3 linked regions of the Macaca mulatta genome follow. The protein of the gene in region 2 binds, or shares a complex with, the protein of the main gene of each other region. Links are inferred from orthologs where the notes say so. Each region holds a gene or a part of one and is shown on either strand. Other genes may lie near its edges.

What was found.
Region 1: the proteins of CALCRL (region 2) and ADM2 are in contact, whole or in part, in a cryo-EM structure (PDB 6UVA), measured with the Homo sapiens proteins. The link is inferred for Macaca mulatta from reciprocal best matches to the Homo sapiens genes CALCRL and ADM2. Residues at the interface, in NP_001258680.1 of Homo sapiens: Val36, Thr37, Lys40, Asp70, Gly71, Trp72, Asp90, Tyr91, Phe92, Gln93, Asp94, Phe95, Asp96, Pro97, Ser98, His114, Ala116, Ser117, Thr120, Trp121, Thr122, Tyr124, Thr125, Asn128, Thr131, Lys134, Val135, Ala138, Leu139, Leu141; in NP_001240774.1 of Homo sapiens: Leu106, Arg107, Val108, Gly109, Cys110, Val111, Leu112, Gly113, Thr114, Cys115, Gln116, Val117, Gln118, Asn119, Leu120, Ser121, His122, Arg123, Leu124, Trp125, Gln126, Leu127, Met128, Gly129, Pro130, Ala131, Gly132, Arg133, Gln134, Asp135.
Region 3: the proteins of CALCRL (region 2) and RAMP3 are in contact, whole or in part, in a cryo-EM structure (PDB 6UVA), measured with the Homo sapiens proteins. The link is inferred for Macaca mulatta from reciprocal best matches to the Homo sapiens genes CALCRL and RAMP3. Residues at the interface, in NP_001258680.1 of Homo sapiens: Arg38, Asn39, Met42, Thr43, Gln45, Tyr46, Glu47, Tyr49, Gln50, Met53, Trp69, Asp70, Ser117, Arg119, Thr120, Phe228, Leu231, Ile235, His238, Thr239, Val243, Val245, Lys249, Gln250, His251, Trp254, Tyr255, Phe257, Leu258, Phe262; in NP_005847.1 of Homo sapiens: Trp56, Cys57, Leu59, Phe62, Ile63, Tyr66, Glu67, Thr70, Cys82, Tyr83, Pro85, Asn86, Pro87, Leu88, Gln90, Ile93, Thr94, His97, Arg98, Cys104, Thr105, Val106, Asp107, Arg108, His110, Leu111, Glu112, Asp113, Pro114, Val118.

Annotation. Positions count from the first base shown.
Region 1 is NC_133415.1:974,607-979,771, reverse strand, and holds ADM2 (protein ADM2 precursor), read left to right. Parts: upstream 1-2,323; 5' UTR 2,324-2,355; intron 2,356-2,428; 5' UTR 2,429-2,439; coding exon 2,440-2,549; intron 2,550-3,146; coding exon 3,147-3,483; 3' UTR 3,484-3,626; downstream 3,627-5,165. UniProt on the Homo sapiens protein: Intermedin/ADM2 is a peptide hormone that plays a role as physiological regulator of gastrointestinal and cardiovascular bioactivities mediated by the CALCRL-RAMPs receptor complexes.
Region 2 is NC_133417.1:92,407,194-92,413,330, reverse strand, and holds the start of CALCRL (calcitonin gene-related peptide type 1 receptor), read left to right. Parts: upstream 1-2,665; 5' UTR 2,666-2,865; intron 2,866-6,137. UniProt on the Homo sapiens protein: G protein-coupled receptor which specificity is determined by its interaction with receptor-activity-modifying proteins (RAMPs). Together with RAMP1, form the receptor complex for calcitonin-gene-related peptides CALCA/CGRP1 and CALCB/CGRP2.
Region 3 is NC_133408.1:83,271,238-83,277,506, reverse strand, and holds the start of RAMP3 (receptor activity-modifying protein 3 precursor), read left to right. Parts: upstream 1-2,430; 5' UTR 2,431-2,492; coding exon 2,493-2,550; intron 2,551-6,269. UniProt on the Homo sapiens protein: Accessory protein that interacts with and modulates the function of G-protein coupled receptors including calcitonin gene-related peptide type 1 receptor (CALCRL), calcitonin receptor (CALCR) and G-protein coupled estrogen receptor 1 (GPER1).

The DNA of each region.
Region 1 (5,165 bases), on a different chromosome or scaffold from region 2:
ACTCGGGAGGCTGAGGCAGGAGAATGGCGTGAACCCGGGAGGTGGAGCTTGCAGTGAGCTGAGATCCGGCCACTGCACTCCAGCCTGGGCGACAGAACGAGACTCCGTCTCAAAAAAAAAACCTATAAATGTGACACTCCTTGCCCCTTAACTGGTCAAAATAAGTAAATAATACCTGCAGGGTATCCCCGCCCTCCCAGAACGGCCTGTGTGGTGTGTGCTCGGCACTCCTCGACTTATTCATCCAGCAGATGTTGACTGTGTTCCCAGGCTGGGGGCACAGCAGGGGGTTACAGGGTGAGTGCAGGGGTTGGGGAGACAGAAGGGGAAGCACAAACAGACGCAGAGATCCTCAGCTAACCCAAGAGAGAGGCCAGTCTCAGCAGCTTGGAGCCCATGACACCAAGTCCAGGACTCGTGGACGGTGGGTAGGCGAAAACTGTGGAGAACAGTGAACCATCTATCAACACCAACACGCACTCACCTTCAACCAGAATTTCTACTTCCAGGAAGGTGTCGTACAGACACGTCTGTGAGCTCGAGGCAGCAACTCACAAAAAGACTGGTGGTCACCTAATTTCACGTTAATCGCAGGTGAAGTGAATCATGCAACACCTATATGCTGGAGTAGGTCCAACCATAGGAAAGAATGGGGTCTCTGATGTGAGGACGGTCAGGCTGTGAGGCCTGTCACCCCACTGGTCACCAGGGTTGATTCGGCTGATGTGGTTGGCTCAGAGGTAGGTGTCCCCTCCTTCCCCACCGTTCCCTGTGTGTCCCTCTGAAGCTGTGTGCTTCGTCAAAGAGGATGAAGGATCAGGCTTCCAGTAGCTGTGCTCCTCTGCCAGGACCTACAAACAAGCTCTCAGTAAAGAATGGGGTCTCAGTCCTATTGCAGGTCTGCACACATGGATGTGTGTGCCTCACACGGCCGCACCTTGGTGTGCCCAGGGCGGGTCAGGAGAGGGCTCCCACCCAGACCGGGGTAGGGGTACCCAGTGGGTGGTAATGATGAGGAGAGTCTCACGTTTCACTTGTTTAAATTTCTTTTTTTTTTTAATTTTTGAGACGGAGTCTCACTCTGTCGCCCAAGCTGGAGTGCAATGGCACGATCTCAGCTCACTGTAACCTCCACCGCCTGGGTTCAAGCCTCAGCCTTTCCTGCCTCAGCCTCCCAAGTGGCTGAGATTACAGGGACCCGCCACCAAGCCCAGCTAATTTTTTTTGGGGGGGGGGTTCGGAGGCGGAGTCTAGCTGTGTCCCCCAGGCTGGAGTGCAGTGGCTCCGCCTCCCGGGTTCACACCATTCTCCTGCCTCAGCTTCCCGAGTAGCTGGGACTACAGGCGCCTGCCACCACGCCCGGCACATGTTTTGTATTTTTAATAGAGAGGGAGTTTCACCGTGTTAGCCAGGATGGTCTTGATCTCCTGACCTCGTGATCCACTCGCCTCGGCCTCCCACAGTGCTGGGATTACAGGCGTGAGCCTCCGCGCCCCACCGGCCCATGACCAGCTAATTTTATTTTTAGTAGAGACGGGTTTCTCCATGTTGGCCAGGCTAGTCTCAAACTCCAGGCCTCAGGTGATCCGCCCGCCTCGGCTTCCCAAATTGCTGGAATTACCGGAGTGAGCCACCGCGCCCGGACACTTGTTTAGATTTGTTACAGAAACCGTGCAATACTTTGGTCTGGGGTTGGAGCGGCTGGCGGTAGGTAGAGCTTTTTAGGAGCGCAGCCCCGGGTTTGGGGACACCGCGTCAGACGATAGCGGAATCCCGCAGACTCCCTGGTCAGGCCCGGGTCCGGGGTCCACCGGATCAGACCCTGGAGGGTGGGACCGCCAGGACCCACCAATCGGGAGGTGGTTGACAGGGTGAGAGTCCGCCCCAGCCGTGGGATCAGCTTGGACTACGGCTCGCCCCCTAGAACCCCGCTTCAGCCTGGGGAAGTCCGGCCCCCCCAGGCTCGGGGCTGCGTCCCCACTAGAAGGCGCCTGGAGTGAGGCTGGCAGCCCCGCGGTCCCGGGCCGGTCGCCGAGCGCTCCCGGCGGGAACAGCCCCCTCCCCGCCCCGGAGCGTGGCTTAGCCCGGGGCAGGGGCGCCCCGCCCCGTCCGTGCACCCGGCTCCGCCCCTTGCTGGAAAGGCTACGTATTCAGCTCCAGAGGTGCCATCCCGGCCGCGACTCTGCTCCAGACAGGACCCCCAACCCGCCCAGCCCGCTCCGCCTTGCGCTCTGGACCCGCGGCCGACCCCAGACCCGCTGCCCGCTTCGCACCCGAGGCCTGCGCCCCGACGGACGCCCGTGCCCAGCTTGCCATACCCACGCCCGGTGCCCCGACCGCGGAGGGCTCCCCGAGGTGCCGGCGGAGGGGGTGGCTCGCGGCTCAGGCTGCCCCCGACCTGCCCGGCTCACCGCTCCCTCCCCTGCAGCGCCGCCCGCCATGGCCCGGATCCCGACGGCCGCCCTGGGTTGCATCAGCCTCCTCTGCCTGCAGCTCCCTGGCGTGCTGTCCCGCAGCCTGGGCGGGGACCCGCGTCCCGTCAAACCCAGGTGAGTCCAGGTCTTGGGCCAGCCAGCCCCTCTGGCCCCCACAGGGAAGCAGAGTACCGGGGGCCGCCCTCCCTCCAACCGCCACCTGCTGCTAGGGCTCCCGTCCCAAACCAAGGCCCCTGCCCCAGGCTCAGCAGCGCCTGAGCAGGGCCAGAGGACCCTCTTCCTCTGCCTCCCTGCACAGGGCAGTTGCTTCTCCCCACACAGGTGGACACAGCAGCCCCTTTTCTGGGGGTGTCTGCTGGGGGAGGGACGGCTGGCGGTATCCCCAGGCCCACCTGTGACCAAAGGGAGGGCAGAAGCTGAGTCACCCTGAGCCCTGAGAGTGGTGACCCGCAGAGGCTGGGCCGCGGGGGTGCCCTTTGCTCAAGGAGGTGCCGGTTCCCAGGACACGTGACCCGGGCCACTGAGATGGTCCCAGGCCCCAAGCCCAGAGGGGACGCGTGGGCTTCCCCTGGCTATGCTCCAGGCTGTGTGGGTGGGGGCCGTGGGCTTCCCCTGGCAGTGACCCAGGCCTGTGTAGAGGCAAAAGTGGGTAGGTGTGAGGTCTCTGAAAGGCTGAGCCATCCAGTTGACATTCTCCATCTGCCTCTGCAGGGAGCCCCCAGCCCGGACCCCTTCCAGCAACCTGCAGCCCAGGCACCCCGCACCCCGACCTGTGGTTTGGAAGCTTCACCAGGCCCTCCAGCCACAGAGGGGTGCTGGCCTGGCCCCTGCTATGGGTCAGCCTCTCCGGGATGGTGGCCGCCAACACTCGGGCCCCCGAAGACACTCGGGCTCCCGCAGGACCCAAGCCCAGCTCCTGCGAGTGGGCTGTGTGCTGGGCACCTGTCAGGTGCAGAATCTCAGCCACCGCCTGTGGCAACTCATGGGACCGGCTGGCCGGCAGGACTCAGCTCCTGTGGACCCCAGCAGCCCCCACAGCTATGGCTGAAGTGGGGCTGGGCCACACCCCTGGCCATCCCAGCCAGGGTGCTGTGCCCCCGTCCAGAGCTGCAGCTGAGTCCCCTCCGCAGCCCAGTCCCGCGGAGCTGCAGACAGCAGGTCCTGCAGCAACAATGCCTGCACGGCGTTGCACACGTAAACCCTTGCACACCTGTAGACCGAGGCTGGTCTATATGCAGTGCTGGTATGTCAAGGAGCCTAAACACCCTGAAATTGTAAACCCTTGGGGGATGGCTGCCAGACCCAGCTGGTGGCAGCACCAGATGCTAAAAAGCGTTTTAAAAAGGAGGCATCTGCCAGGGACGTGGAGCAGAAGCTGGGCCCTGAACCCACAGGGCCACGTCTGGACGAACAGGGGAGAGGGGCTGAATTGGCCGGAAGCGGCCCCTCCGCTGCTGGTCCAGTCAGACTGAAGCCCGGCCTTGTGCCTGGGCTGTTCCTGCTGTCGTGCACAACCAGCCCTTCCACGTGCCTGCCTGGCCGGGGGTCCCAGCCTCTCCCTCCCCATGCCTTTGGGACAGGACAGGGAGTGTGGGATGCTATAGCCCCCTGGGGTTGGGCAAGGGAAGGATGGTGGCCCTCCAGAGGTCATGAAGGGACCTCTGTGGCTCCAGCTGCCAACCCTGGAGCCCAGACTGAGGTAGCCATGGGGACTCCATCTGGATGCCCTGTGGGAGGCCGGGGAGGGGAACTCAGCAGTTCAGAAGCCACCCCAAACCATTCTGGGACAGGGACACCCCTTCCTACCCCAGGACAGGGCAGGGCTGGGTGGGGCAAGACCCCCAGCCCAAATAGACCCACCCCACCTCAAGGGGGTGAGACCCTTGTTGGCAGCCAGACAAGGGTGGGGCTCCACAGGCAACCCAGGCGCCCCACCACCACCCAGTGTGGGGGCCCAGTGGAACCAGGTGTGGGGGCAGCAGGTGACTCGCCAAGAGCCCGGGAGGGCAGCCCAGCCCCAAATGACAAGAACAAGAACCACTGCCAGTGTGCACGGACTTGGTGTGTGTTCTTCCCCGGGGAGATGGGGGCTCATGTGCGTGTGCCACTCGAGGCTCCCAGTCGTCCAGCAGAACGCGGGGTTCAGAAAGGGTTCCTTCCGCTACTTAGCAAACACTCAGCATTTAATTTGCAAATGTTTGCTAGGGTCACCCTCTCAGCCACCCCATGAGGGTCACCATGATCACCCCAACTCTAGAGGCTACAGCAGAGCTCAGGACATTCCCCCACAGCCTGCCCCTCAGTGACTACTTCCAAAGGGGAGGGTCCTGGAAGCGCCCACCCAGGCGCCGCCTCTGTGCTTGCTCCCTGAGCTCAGGGATCGCCGGGTCCAGGTAACTGACCTGTGCTCCATGAGGCCCTGTGGGAACAGTCCAGGCTGATCCTGCCCTGTGGAGGCCTCCATGCACTGGGAGATGGACTAGGGTTGCAGCAGAGGTGGTCAGGGTGGTGGCCCGCACAGCAAGGCAGTCAAGGCCGGCTCCCTGGGAGAAGCACTGGATCAGTGAGGTCTGAGGACAACAGGCCTTCCCTAGGGGAAGGAGCTGGGAGTGCCAAGTCCCCAGGTGCACAGGAGGCTTGGCTGCTGAGAGGCTGCAGGGTGGAGGGGCCTCGGCCTCTGAGTCATGTGTCCTGTGGTCACTGAAGGGTGTCAGCAGAGCACAGGGCATG
Region 2 (6,137 bases):
TCCAAACATTTGCCTTCATGTTTCAGTAGGTATTAGAGAAGTTTTTATGATCTATCTTATCACTTGCTCCTTTATAACTTAGAATACCCTGAATGCTTTCCTGGAAGTCCTTGTACCATTTATTTTTTCTGAAGTTTATAAAATGGCAGCTCTTAAGGATTACTAGGATGCAATTTTCCTGTTAGGTCTAAATAATAATTAGAGATGATATCAATAAAATTTATCAAGGAGTCTTCATGGACTACAACCATGGGCCCATATGTCCATCAACTTAAATATAAATAATACAACTTCCGTTAAGACACCCCATAAAGTATAGCACTTGATATAGAGTAGAAGAGAAAGAGCATTGGATTAAGGTTATCAGCTCAAAATATGAATTTTTTTCCTTCAGTAGACCTTACTAGTATTGGGCAAATGAAATCAATGAATCTAGCCGGATGCAGTGGCTCACGTCTGTAATCCCAGCACTTTGGGAGGCTAAGGTGGGTGAATCACCTGAGGTCAGGAGTTTGAGACCAGTCTGGCCAACGTGGTGAAACCCTGTCTCTACAAAAAAATACAAAAAGTTAGCTGGGTGTGGTGGCAGGCGCCTGTAATCCCAGCTACTCGGGAGGCTGAGGCAGGAGAATTGCTTGAACCCTGGAAGCGGAGGTTGCAGTGAGCTGAGATTGCATCATTGCACTCCAGCCTGTGCAACAAGAGCAAAAACTCCATCGAGAAAGAAAGAGAAGAAAGAGAAGAAAGAAGGAAGGAAGGAAGGAAAAAAAGAAAGAAAGAAAGAAAGAAAGAAAGAAAGAAAGAAAGAAAGAAAGAAAGAAAGAAAGAAAGAGAGAGAGAAAGAAAGAAAGAGGGAGGAAGGAAGGAAGGAATCTTTGGAAAGACAAAAATATTAATGCTTTTATAAACACATTGGGAAAAGTTTTAGTTTTCAATGATTTAATTAAATTCAAAAACTATATATTAATATCTTTATAGGATTCATATATTATACTTAGCATGGAAGATGAGAAGACATGACCCATTATTACTTTCATATTAAATCTAGTATTTGTTTTGCGCTGAATTTCAAGATGGGAACACCAAGCCTAAAAAGCTTTGTCGAGATCACACCAGACAGTATCAGAACCAGTTCACCAGTGTAACTCAAGATCTTACAAGTCTTTTCTATTAACCATAATTACAGAGATTAAGGTATATCTTATTTTTATATGTCTGTAATTTTTTATCAATATTGATCTTACTTGTCTTAAACTCAAAGAGCGTATACACATTTTCTTCCACTAATTCAGACAATAAAAATATGAACGTGAGCACCCTGCTTTAAAAACATGATATTCCTGAATCTATTTTGCCTTTACCTCCTTTGTTTGCCTACAAGGTGTATGGGCACCTCATTTTATCCTGGAATTACACTAACAATTTACTAAGAATTGAATGATCCTCACCATATCTTATCTATTTCTAAATGTTATGAAATCTGGCAATTCAAAGCTTTAGAGATAAAAGCTATCTCTTCTAGTTTATAGATGAGAAAATTTATGCCCTGATAAATTAAGTGACTTTTAGTGCTGTTTAGGTTACAGGGGTTATAATTATTGTTTCATATCATACATTTACCAAATTATAAAAATGACAAAAGCATTTCAAATTTACAACATTTTCCCCTGATCATATCCAATGATGTATTAAACATATTCAGGAAAAATTATGCTTTGAGATGAAATTTTGTCTAAGAAATAAAGTATGCTTTGTATTTATATTATTTTATAATATTATGTTTATAACATATCTACATTTTCTTTAAGATTGTATTGATTTACAAATATTGTGGTATAAATTATTTTTATATTATAAATAACATAATTATACCAAATATTTGTAAATGTGTGCAGTAATTTTAAAATTATGAATTATTCCAAAGGCTATTTTGACAAATATAATACTGATATATTATATATTATAAAAGAAATACTCTATACACACACATACACAAGTTGAATTTATAACACATACACTCATGTTCTTATGTTATGAAGAAGGTAAAGGAAAAAATAAAAGATTTAAAAACTGCAGGATAAAGTTTCTTGATCTGAGTAACTGATTAGGAACTGCACTTAGGAACTGATGGAGGAATAGCACCCAATTAGCAGAGCTCCAAATTAATAAGAGCCAAATCACAAAACCAATTATGATGAATGCAGTTAATTTTTTTTCTGTGTTGTGCTATGAACACAGATTTGTTAGATATTTTTTTCCTGGATACTTTGTAAGCTATAATTCAACACACACACACACACACACACACACACACGCACACACGCCTAACTCTTTGATTCTTTGAGCAGAATACTATATTCAGATTTCCTTCAAATCACAAGTAGCTTGTTTGGCAAGTTCTAACAGAACTCAGTCAAGGTGAAAGCCAGCCAGCTTTTTACTGGTAACAATGCATTCACACAGCCTATGATCTCTCCCTGTTCAGGCTGCTTCTTGCTCTTGTCTCACAATAAGAAAGGAGTGCTGCTTTCCTGGGGTATGCTATTTGAGAAAGAAAGTAACCTAACACTAACTGCAGGCGGGGTCAGAGTGATGTAACAGGAAGCTCTGATGTTTCCCTTCTGCTGCTGATCACTTACAATCTGACAACACTTACAATCTACTCAGAACAACCTCTCTCTCTCCAGCAGAGTGTCACCTCCTGCTTTAGGACCATCAAGCTCTGCTAACTGAATCTCATCCTGATTGCAGGATCACATTGCAAAGCTTTCACTCCTTCCCACCTTGCCTCTTCTGCGGAATCTCAGAAAGTAAAGTTTCATCCTAAGAATATTTCACAAAGAATTTCCTTAAGAGCTGGACTGGGTAAGTGCACATTCAAAATAAATATATTTATTCTAAGTAGTATTCTCATATAGTTTGGCAATGTTTCTATTATAGAATTTAGTAGGTAGCATTGAAATAATGTTGAAACATACTCTCATTTATTTCACATGCTAGAGAAAATACAGCCTATTACCCCAAAGTTAATACAAAATCTAATACTACTAGATAATATTGTTTACCATGGTATTCTAGAAAATAAATTTAGCAAGTATTAAAAATCTAAATGGATTAAAAGACATATTTCTGAACAAATACCTTAATCAGAGAACAATGCCTTTTAAAATTAGCTCTACTATTAGCTAAGCTTGAATCTTGACAGCTGGAAAACATTTTTCCCCCAGGGTCTTTAAACTTTCCATGTTATCAGCTCTAAGAAAGAGGTGAAAGAATAGCTACTTAATGGGTCTCGGAGTCTCACTTACTCTGTGGTTGAACACAATGCAGAGTTTTGAAAAGTAATCACTTTGCATTTGTTCCATTTGCTTTTATTTGCCTTTCACCTTTATTTACACATATATCTGTAACTACTGAACTAATTTTTGTTATTCATTGTTGCCAGATGTGTTTAAATCTGTTTTCTGCTAACCCTGAACTGTTTCCTCTTTATGTGGATCATGGTGTCGGCTACAAAGAAAAGACCTAGAGTTTAGGAAATGTAGATTGTTAAAACAATTCTTAATTTTGAAATCTTTAAGAGAATACTTCAACTTGACTGGTTCCCCTCTGCAAGCTTTTGGAGGAGGGTGTGATACCAAGATATCTGTGGATAAAGAAATGTGACAGCTTTCCTAAACAAGTATATTAGATGATTAAATGAAGAAATTAAAGTACTTATTAAAAAAGAATTTCCAGGATGGAACTTACTGAAATGTTGAGATAAAACATCTGTTAATGCTCTCCGATGGTACAGACTGTCCTGAACAATTTAAGAAACTAGTGTCTGCTTAACAAATTGTTTGTATAGATATAGCACAAATTTGTTGCTGGAGAAAGTTTGATGTCAAATTTTAAATGACATTGATAGATATAATTTTTAAGTTATACAGTTTCTTACCTAAATGAAATTATACTTTCCAAGATGTCCTGCATTGGAAGCATCCTGTACTTAATCACTCATATCTGGCACATTAATAGTAGGCTACAAACATCCTGAGTAACTCTTCAGTAATTTACAACTCAATTTTTCCACAAATTCCTCAACATAATGAAGATTTAAATTAATTCTTAGATTTGTGATTCTTTAAAGGTATCATGGCTGATTTCTCTCTCTTTTCAATCTTCAATTGTACTGAGTTCCCTGACACATGTGTAGAAATGGGAAGAGTGTTTTTAGAATGTGACTTTCGCCATTATATAAATGGGGGAGAAAGTGGAAACAACACATTTACTAACCCAATGCGATGGCTTACTAACAAAAATTAAAACAACATTATTTTTAATTCAGATTATTTTCTTAGGAGGTATTATATTACAATCATATTTTATAATGAGAAACTCTCCAAACTTCCTTAATTTTTGTTTAATTGCCAGCCTCAAACCCATAATTCTCTTATATAATTTGATTAAATTTTTATGAGTTTACTAACAGTATGGGTTATAATCTTTGTTTTCCAAAAATACTTTTGAAAAACACTAGACGATGAACATTGAAGGTCATTCGCCAAAGGAAATCTTTGAGGACATAACTGGAAGTTTGAAATAAAAATTCAGATTATTGTGTTCAAAATGTGCTTTCTTTAATGATAAGAGAATGTCAGAGTATCAATGCATGCTTTTAGCCATAAAGAAATGAATTTACTTTGCTAGATGATGTTTCCTTGTAGCATCATAAAATCAATGCATTGAGCCTTCAGTCAATTCTAAATAAGTAAAATTAAACACAGAATTGAAACATTATGTGAATAACGTGAGCTAAAATATGTTTTACCTGAAATATTCTATTTCTTAAAGAGATAATGTTTTCAGTTATTGTTACAAGATTTTTTCTATCTTACATACCAAAGCATTATACTAAAAGTTAAAATATGTAGATTTTTATAATATATGAAACTGTTCATTCACTTTGAAAAACTGGAATAACAAAAACATTTTTAAAAATAATACTGGGTCTGTAACTTTGAAAATTGTTTTAAATGAATGGGCAAGATGTATATGCTTTTCTCACTGGTAACTCCGAACATGTATGAATTTTAAGTGAAGTCAATACTTAGCATATTTGTAAGAACATTTACGTTCACTTGCACATATTACACTATTTTTTCATGCATAACAGAAATAAAATTTAATAAAAAAATATTGAAAATAATATAAAGGTAAAACGATTATGTTATTTGCTTTACAGATTAATGTGGACAAGTTATTTGATAAACACATAAAGACTAACTGAATTTCAGTTAATAGCATCACTACATATTTCTAACTAGATCATATTTGGAAACATTGTAAAAATATTTTGTTACCAATTTTATCTACATGGCAGAAGTTTGATAGTAACTTAATTTTAAAAGATTATTCTAGATCTTTATAGAAAACAATAATAATCTTTAAAGGATCAAAAATGTATTCAGTAAACAAAATTTATTTCATACTCTACATATGACCTTGAATACAGCTTTAACAAATAATTCTGGTTTTGGAGATATGATTACAGTACCAACTTTTCAGAATACAAATATGTTCAAGAAAGGTTATTTAAAATCTTTTGCTTTATTGCGTATCTTATGCTTGGCATTCAGAGAAGCTATTAAACCATAAACACAAGCTCTATCATTGCAATGGTGTTAATGAAAGACACTCTTATGAGAGTCAAGTGTGTAATGTATCTTAGTTTTGACTTACTCACAATTTTGGAGAATACGCTTAAGATAGACAAATGGTACACAGCTATTTAAAACATTTATCTGTATCTGGTTTTCAAATCTATGGGTAAACTATACACATTCACAATTTCTCAGGTATGTTCTATTTTTCTGACAAAGTACATGTACCATACTGGATTACATATTATTTCAAGACATCTTCTCATTTAATATACAAAAATATTATGATGCAAATAGGTGGAAAATAAAAACTTACCAGAAATACAAGATAAACTCTGCATTCTAACCAGATGGATCTATCCTTTTCCCATTTATTCACATGGACCATGTGAATTTGATTAAGTCAATTAATCTCTGCATTTTTCCTTATTTGAATAATCTTAAACTCAAATTAATTTAATTGTAGTAAGCTATATTACAAAAAAGAGAAGA
Region 3 (6,269 bases), on a different chromosome or scaffold from region 2:
ATCCCAGCTATTCAGGGGGCTGAGGCAAGAGAATTTCTTGAGCCCCGGAGGCGGAGGTTGCGGTGAGCCAAGATCATGCCATTGCACTCCAGCCTGGGCAATAAGAATGAATCTCCTTCTCAAAAATAAATAAATAAATAAATAAATAAATAAATAAATAAATAAATAAAAAATACAAAATTAAAAAAATAAAGAATTATGAACCATAAGAGGCGATTCCTGAGAGGACCCCAGTGCTCACAGGATCACAGACATAGAGAATGGTGCCAGGGCCAGCACCCACCGAGGGACAAGCAGGGAGACAGGTGTTGTCCAGGGTACACCTCATGGTCAGTCTCATTTATGGTGGCAGCCCTTCCACTCGCAGGGTCGGGGGGATGCACTGTGGAAGGGGTAGGTCCCCCTCTCCCAATGCTCAGCTCCTCACAGCCTGTGTTAAACCCACCTGCCCTGCAGAGGCCATGGGCAGCACTGGGCAGAAAGGAGAAGTGAGGGCCCTGTCTTAGAGGGACATAGAGGACAGTAGACACAACTCCCTGGGAGTTTGTCAGGGCATGGTTGGTTCCTTGGAGAAGAGGTGTTGGAACCAACTCTGCAGGATGGCCAGGGCTTCCCCACTGCAGAGTCAGAGTGGGGAGTCCAGGAAAGGGAGCATTGCTCCCTGGTGCAGGCTTGGGGGAACTGGCTGCCCCCACTCCCACCTGACAACCCCATCCTCCTGTTCCAGCCTGTAAGCTGTGTGCAACTGCCTTTGGGGCTGTGGGACTGAGTGGGGACTAAGACTCTCCTGGAGAGAGCTATAAGGCCGAGTCTGTGTGGGATGTGGGTGGACACCCGGGCCTGGACCGTCCTCTTGGTTTGTCGTGGCTAGTGTAGGGTATGTGTGTGTGTGAGCCAGACCCCTGCTGCCCTGGTGGGCTTGTTTTGTGGCCCCGGCCTGTGGGCACCAGCAGTCTCACTGGAGGCTCTGTGGCCACCCCTGCACCTGCTGCCCACCCCTCAGGCAGAAGGCAGGACAAATGATCAATTTTAATTAGTTTTGACTCCTTTGAATTAATTCTGGCTGCAATCAGAATTTCTTCAGTAAAAAAGCACAGAAAGTTCTGCTCCCAAATAAGGGTCTTGTTAAATAAAGTGGGTCTTTCTAAGCCAGGAGAAGGTCAGCTCAGCTCCTGGGAAGGTAGCAGTACCTACGGCTCAGAGCAGTGGAGGGCCCATCCGTGTGGGAGCCTGGGCCTGTGCTCCAACCTCAGACCAGCATGCGCCCCCAGGGGTGGTGGGTGGGCCCTGGAGGGCAGAGAGGGGCCTCTAGCTGGCTCTCGGAAGTCCTGGCCAGTGACAATTCTGCAGACACCATCAAGTGTCCACTGGAGCCAGGGCCTGTGCTAGGGGCTGAGGATGACAGAGGCGACCCATCTGGCTAAGTGACCTGTGGCTGGAGAAACTGAGGCCTTCCTTCCCCTCAGGAACCCTGACACTCTCCGAGGCCAGGTCTTTGGGGGCGCCAGATACTCTTGTCCCTCGGTTTGCTTGTGGCTTGGTCCTTGATGTGTGATATATCTCTGTGTGTAGCTGCCACATCCTCCAGTCTCTCTCATACACACTGTTTCCCAAGCACACACTCACAAACACACCTTGTCTCAGACTCAAACTCACACATGCCACACACACACCATACATCACACACTCCATGCACACACATGCATCTACACATACTCCACATGCACATCACACACATATTCCATGAACACCACACACACACACACACACACACACACACACACACCCACCCACCCACCCCAACCTCCTTCATGCACTTTCCTGACCCTTGGAGACCTGGCTCCTAGATGTGTCTCTGCTCAAAGGTCCCCTCCCTGCCTGGGGGCAGCTCTGGACTCTGGTCTACTTTCGGCCAGGGCACACCTAGCCCACCCCCAGGTCCACCTTCCTCCAGTCTACCCGCAGCCTCCTCTAGGCCATCATCAGTCCGCGCTTCATCCACACCTCAGCTCCCTCCCCGGTCTACCCCCACACTCTGCCCCCAGCCTGGACGGAAGTTCCCCAAGTCCTTCCAGCCTGCAGCCCAGCCTACCATTAGCCGGCCCCCACTCTCACTCCAGCTCACCTCCCAGCCTGCCCCTGCAGTCTGCTCCCAAAACGCTCCTTTGCAGCTCAGCACCCCAGTCCCGCCCTCAGAGCCGGCACCCCACCTTACCCCAGCTAGTCCCCAGCTCGAAACCCAGCCCTCACCCCACTCTCACCCCCGCTGAGATTCCAGCCCAGACTCCAGCCGCCCCCTGTCCCTCCCACCTGGCGCGCCTGCAAGGCCTGCACCCCACATCTGGAGGTAACGGGCACGGCTGGAGGCGTGGTCTGGGGGGTGCGGCCTGGGGGCGGACTCCCTGAGGCCCCGCCCCACCCCAACCCCATCCGGGCGTCCCCGGTTGCACCCCCAGCCGGACCAAGCGTGACCCAGCCGCGGCCGGCCAGCCATGGAGACTGGAGCGCGGCGGCGCCCGCAACTTCTCCCGCTGCTGCTGCTGCTCTGCGGTAAGGGGGCGTCGGCCCGCACCGGAGGCGCCCCCACTTCCCGGAGTTCATCGGACCCGCGTGGACCCGCGCCTTCCTGCACCTGCGCCGCAGTCCTTCCTTTCCCCCTGAGCTCGGGAGGGGCGCACAGCGACCCTGGCAGGCTCCCCAGGCTCTGCGGGAGGGTTCACCCGGGAGAAGCTGAAGGCAAAGAACTCTGGCGGGCAAGGGAGGCACAGGGTCCCCTCCGGGCTCTTCTGCCGGCGGGGTCCGGCAGTCCCCGCTCCTCCTAGTTGTGATGTCCCCCCACGCCCCAGTTCTGGGGTCGCCTCAGGGTGGGCGAGAGAGGAGGCGGACCGGGTCTGGCTCCTTCCCCCTTCCCCCTAGGATGGGTTGTCGGTGAGGTAGTGAGCTCCCTGTCCTGGCATTGAGTGCCTGCCCACCACTCACAGGGGCGTGGGCGGGTGGACTCCGGACTGCGTAGCTGGTCCTCCCAGGGCCCGTCAGTGTGTGGACGCTTGTGTGTGTCTTGGAACTGGCTGACAGGGGAAGCGGGGCGACTCTCTGAGCCATCCTCTCCTAATGTCTTCTTCCGCAATAAATCAGGACTCTGGGGAGAACCGTTGCTCACAAAATGGAAACAGATTAAACTAAAAGCTTATTTTGAACTACCTTACTAAAGAAATTATCCAAGAGAAAGTGAGAGAGAGAGGTGGGGGGGGGAGAGAGAGAGAGAGAGAATGTGTGTAAGGGCTGTTGGGGAAGAGTGCTTGCTGAGGGCTGGAGTCCACTAAGTGGCGACTGAGCCTGGCCAGTTCTGGGGGGACACTGGTGAGGGAGGGCCCTGGTCTGGTGGTCCCCAGTTTCCCTGACTGTAAGATGCAGCGTTGGGCCTGTTTTGATGATTTGGGATTTGGTAAGGGAGGTGGGAAAAGGGTGGACCAAACTCAGTGTTCATTTTCCTTCCATTGAAGAGGTCTTGGTGTGCAGAACATGTGTGGCTTCATTTGGTGTTCCAGGGCTGGAGCCTAGGACGTGGTTCATTTTGTGTTGAAGTGCAAAGGTGCGTGGCAATCAGGAGCATGCTGATTTGGGATTTCAGCAAACTTCCAGTGAGCTCCCCTCAGGTGGAGATCTTGGTCACTATAATGGAAGGAAGGTCCTCTGAATTCATTCTGGGAGAAGCTGAGGCTTTCCTGACCATCTCCAGTATGGAATTGAGAAGGACCACAGGCTTCCGCCTGCACAGAATCCCTCCTCTTAATAATCCTGTCTCTCGTGGACCCAGTTCCTGAGGGTCACTTCTTTGTCTTGTTGTGTTGGTCCTGACTGTCCCCCTCCAATGGGACATGGGTTCATGCTCCCTGGCCAGAATGGAGACCAGGCCCAGCTTCTCAGCAGACCCTCCCAGTGTTTGCCTGGCCAGAGTGAGATTCAGAGAGAGGTAAAACTTGCTCATGGTTCCAGGCTGATGTGTCAGAGGTGGGACTGGAGCCCACATCTGCCCTGGATGCTGCTGTATCTGGAAGGAAGGAGCTGGGTGGGTTCCTCTTGAGTGAGGACTGGCTCAGGGGGACCAGCAGGGAGGGTGCTGACCTCTGGGGCTTCTTTGAGAATTCCAAACCTTTTTCCAGAAAGCATTTGATGCTGTGCAGGGCTGTGGGGATGCAAAGTTCAGCAGTTGTCTACTCAGCAGGATGCTTTGCTGTTTTCTATTTTGATTCAGTTCCTGCGACTTTTACTAATGCAGCCAGTAGTCCAGCCCTTGACTGGACTCTTTTGGTCTGGGTGAAAATCCCGATCATGATCCCAAGATTACAAAGCACTCACTGGCCTCAGTTTCCCAGCTGCAATGTAGATGTAATAGTAGCAACCTGCAAAGGGCTGCTGAGACCGTCAGTTTGATTCCATTCAGTTTAGTCTTTATCGTCTTGTGTTGGGCATGGGATTGTGGGGTGGAAGGATTCATGCTTAAACAAGGGGAGGTGTAGGAAGGCACCCACCAGTGACTGCACTGGGCCTCATGAGGCTCACTCACAGCACCCAAAGATGGAGCACCATAGTGTGTGTGCCTGTGTGTGCAAGCATGTGAACATGGTACCACCATTTTTATCACTAAATGATGTCCTGCTACCATGTTACCTGTGGTCACATTGATTCTGCTGAATCAAGTGGGCCCAAGGGCCGTGGTTGGATAGCAGTAACTCTGGTGAATTAAAGACTTGGAGGTGGCAGGCCGGGGGCAGTGGCTCACGCCTGTAATCTCAGCACTTTGGGAGGCCGAGCAGATCACGAGGTCAGGAGTTTGAGACCATCCTGGCCAACATGGTGAAACCCCATCTCTACTAAAAATACAAAAAATTAGCTGGGTGTGGTGATGCATGCCTGTAGTCTCAGCTACTCGGGAGGCTGAGACAGGGGAATCACTTGAACCTGGGAGGCGGAGATTGCAGTGAGCCGAGATTGTGCCATTGCACTCCAGCCTGGTGACAAAGCGAGATTCTGTCAAAAAAAAAAAAAAAAAAAGAAGACTTGATGGTGGTGATTGGCCAAGAAGAGGCCCATAGATTTTTGGCACTGGAGGTTCCTTGGAGGTTATCTGACCTCCATGCTCTTACCTACTCTTCATAAGGAAACAGAAGTCTGGAGGGTTGAGAGGAAGTTGCCCAACCACAGAGAACAGGGGCAGAACCACCCAGAATCCACAGCCTCCCAAGGTCGACTGACCATGGCCCATGGCAGCCACTTGCCAGTCTGATCGATGCTCTTTCTGTTAAGGATGGGGAGAGCGCCTGCGTTTCATTTCCAAATGACTAGCCACAAAAGCCCTTTCTCGCGGAAGTGCATCTGTTTGGCTGTTTATCATCTCTCGGCGTCTGGAAGTCCCTGAGACAAAAGAAACACAGGCCGGCATGTTCTTTGTCTCCCAATGAAACCAACCAAAATGGATTTCTATTTTGATTCAGTTCCTGTGACCTTTACTAATGCAGCCAGTAGCTTGATTGGCAATGACCCTCTTTTGTGGTGTTGCCAGGAATCTGTCTTTACACCATTGTTCTAACATTGGGTGGGTTGTCAGGTTTTGCTGGGAGCCCCTCAAGCCTCATGTGCACTAGAAATGAGCTTCCTGGGAGGACACTTGGTCTCTCAGGGTGCCTGCCTTGTGCAGGCCCAGGGCTGGCGCTGTCACAGGCATCCTCATAGCACCTCCATGGGCAGAGAAGTTATCTCAGAACACCTGCCTGAGGATGGCCTGTGGTCCTCAAAGGCACATTTACAATCTGCCCAGGCCAGGTCCTTGCCATGGGGCATGTGGAGGTTCTGGGGTATGCAGAGATTTGGGGCATGCAGAGATTCAGGGAGGGGCATGTTGTCAGGGACCCCTCCTTCTCTTTAGATAGCTATGCCACCTGGGTGCGTGTTTGTAGAGTCCTGGGGGAGGGGCTGGGCAATGCCCTGGCACTGGGGGTGGTGTGGAATTGATGCTATCTTTGCCTGGCTCAGAGGGGGAGATCAGGGGCTCAGGGAGAATAATAGTTGCCAGAGGGTAATGGATACTTACCAGGACCTTGTCCCAGAGCTGTGTTTCAGAGCATCATGGTTAATGTGAAAATGCGGCAGATGCAGGCCCTGTATAGGGAGGTGGGCTGTAGGAACAGCCACACTTGGGCTGGCTGCGGCAAATACCTGCTAGGAATGGGCTTGGGGGGAGAAGGCAGTGGTTCAGATTTGTTCTAACT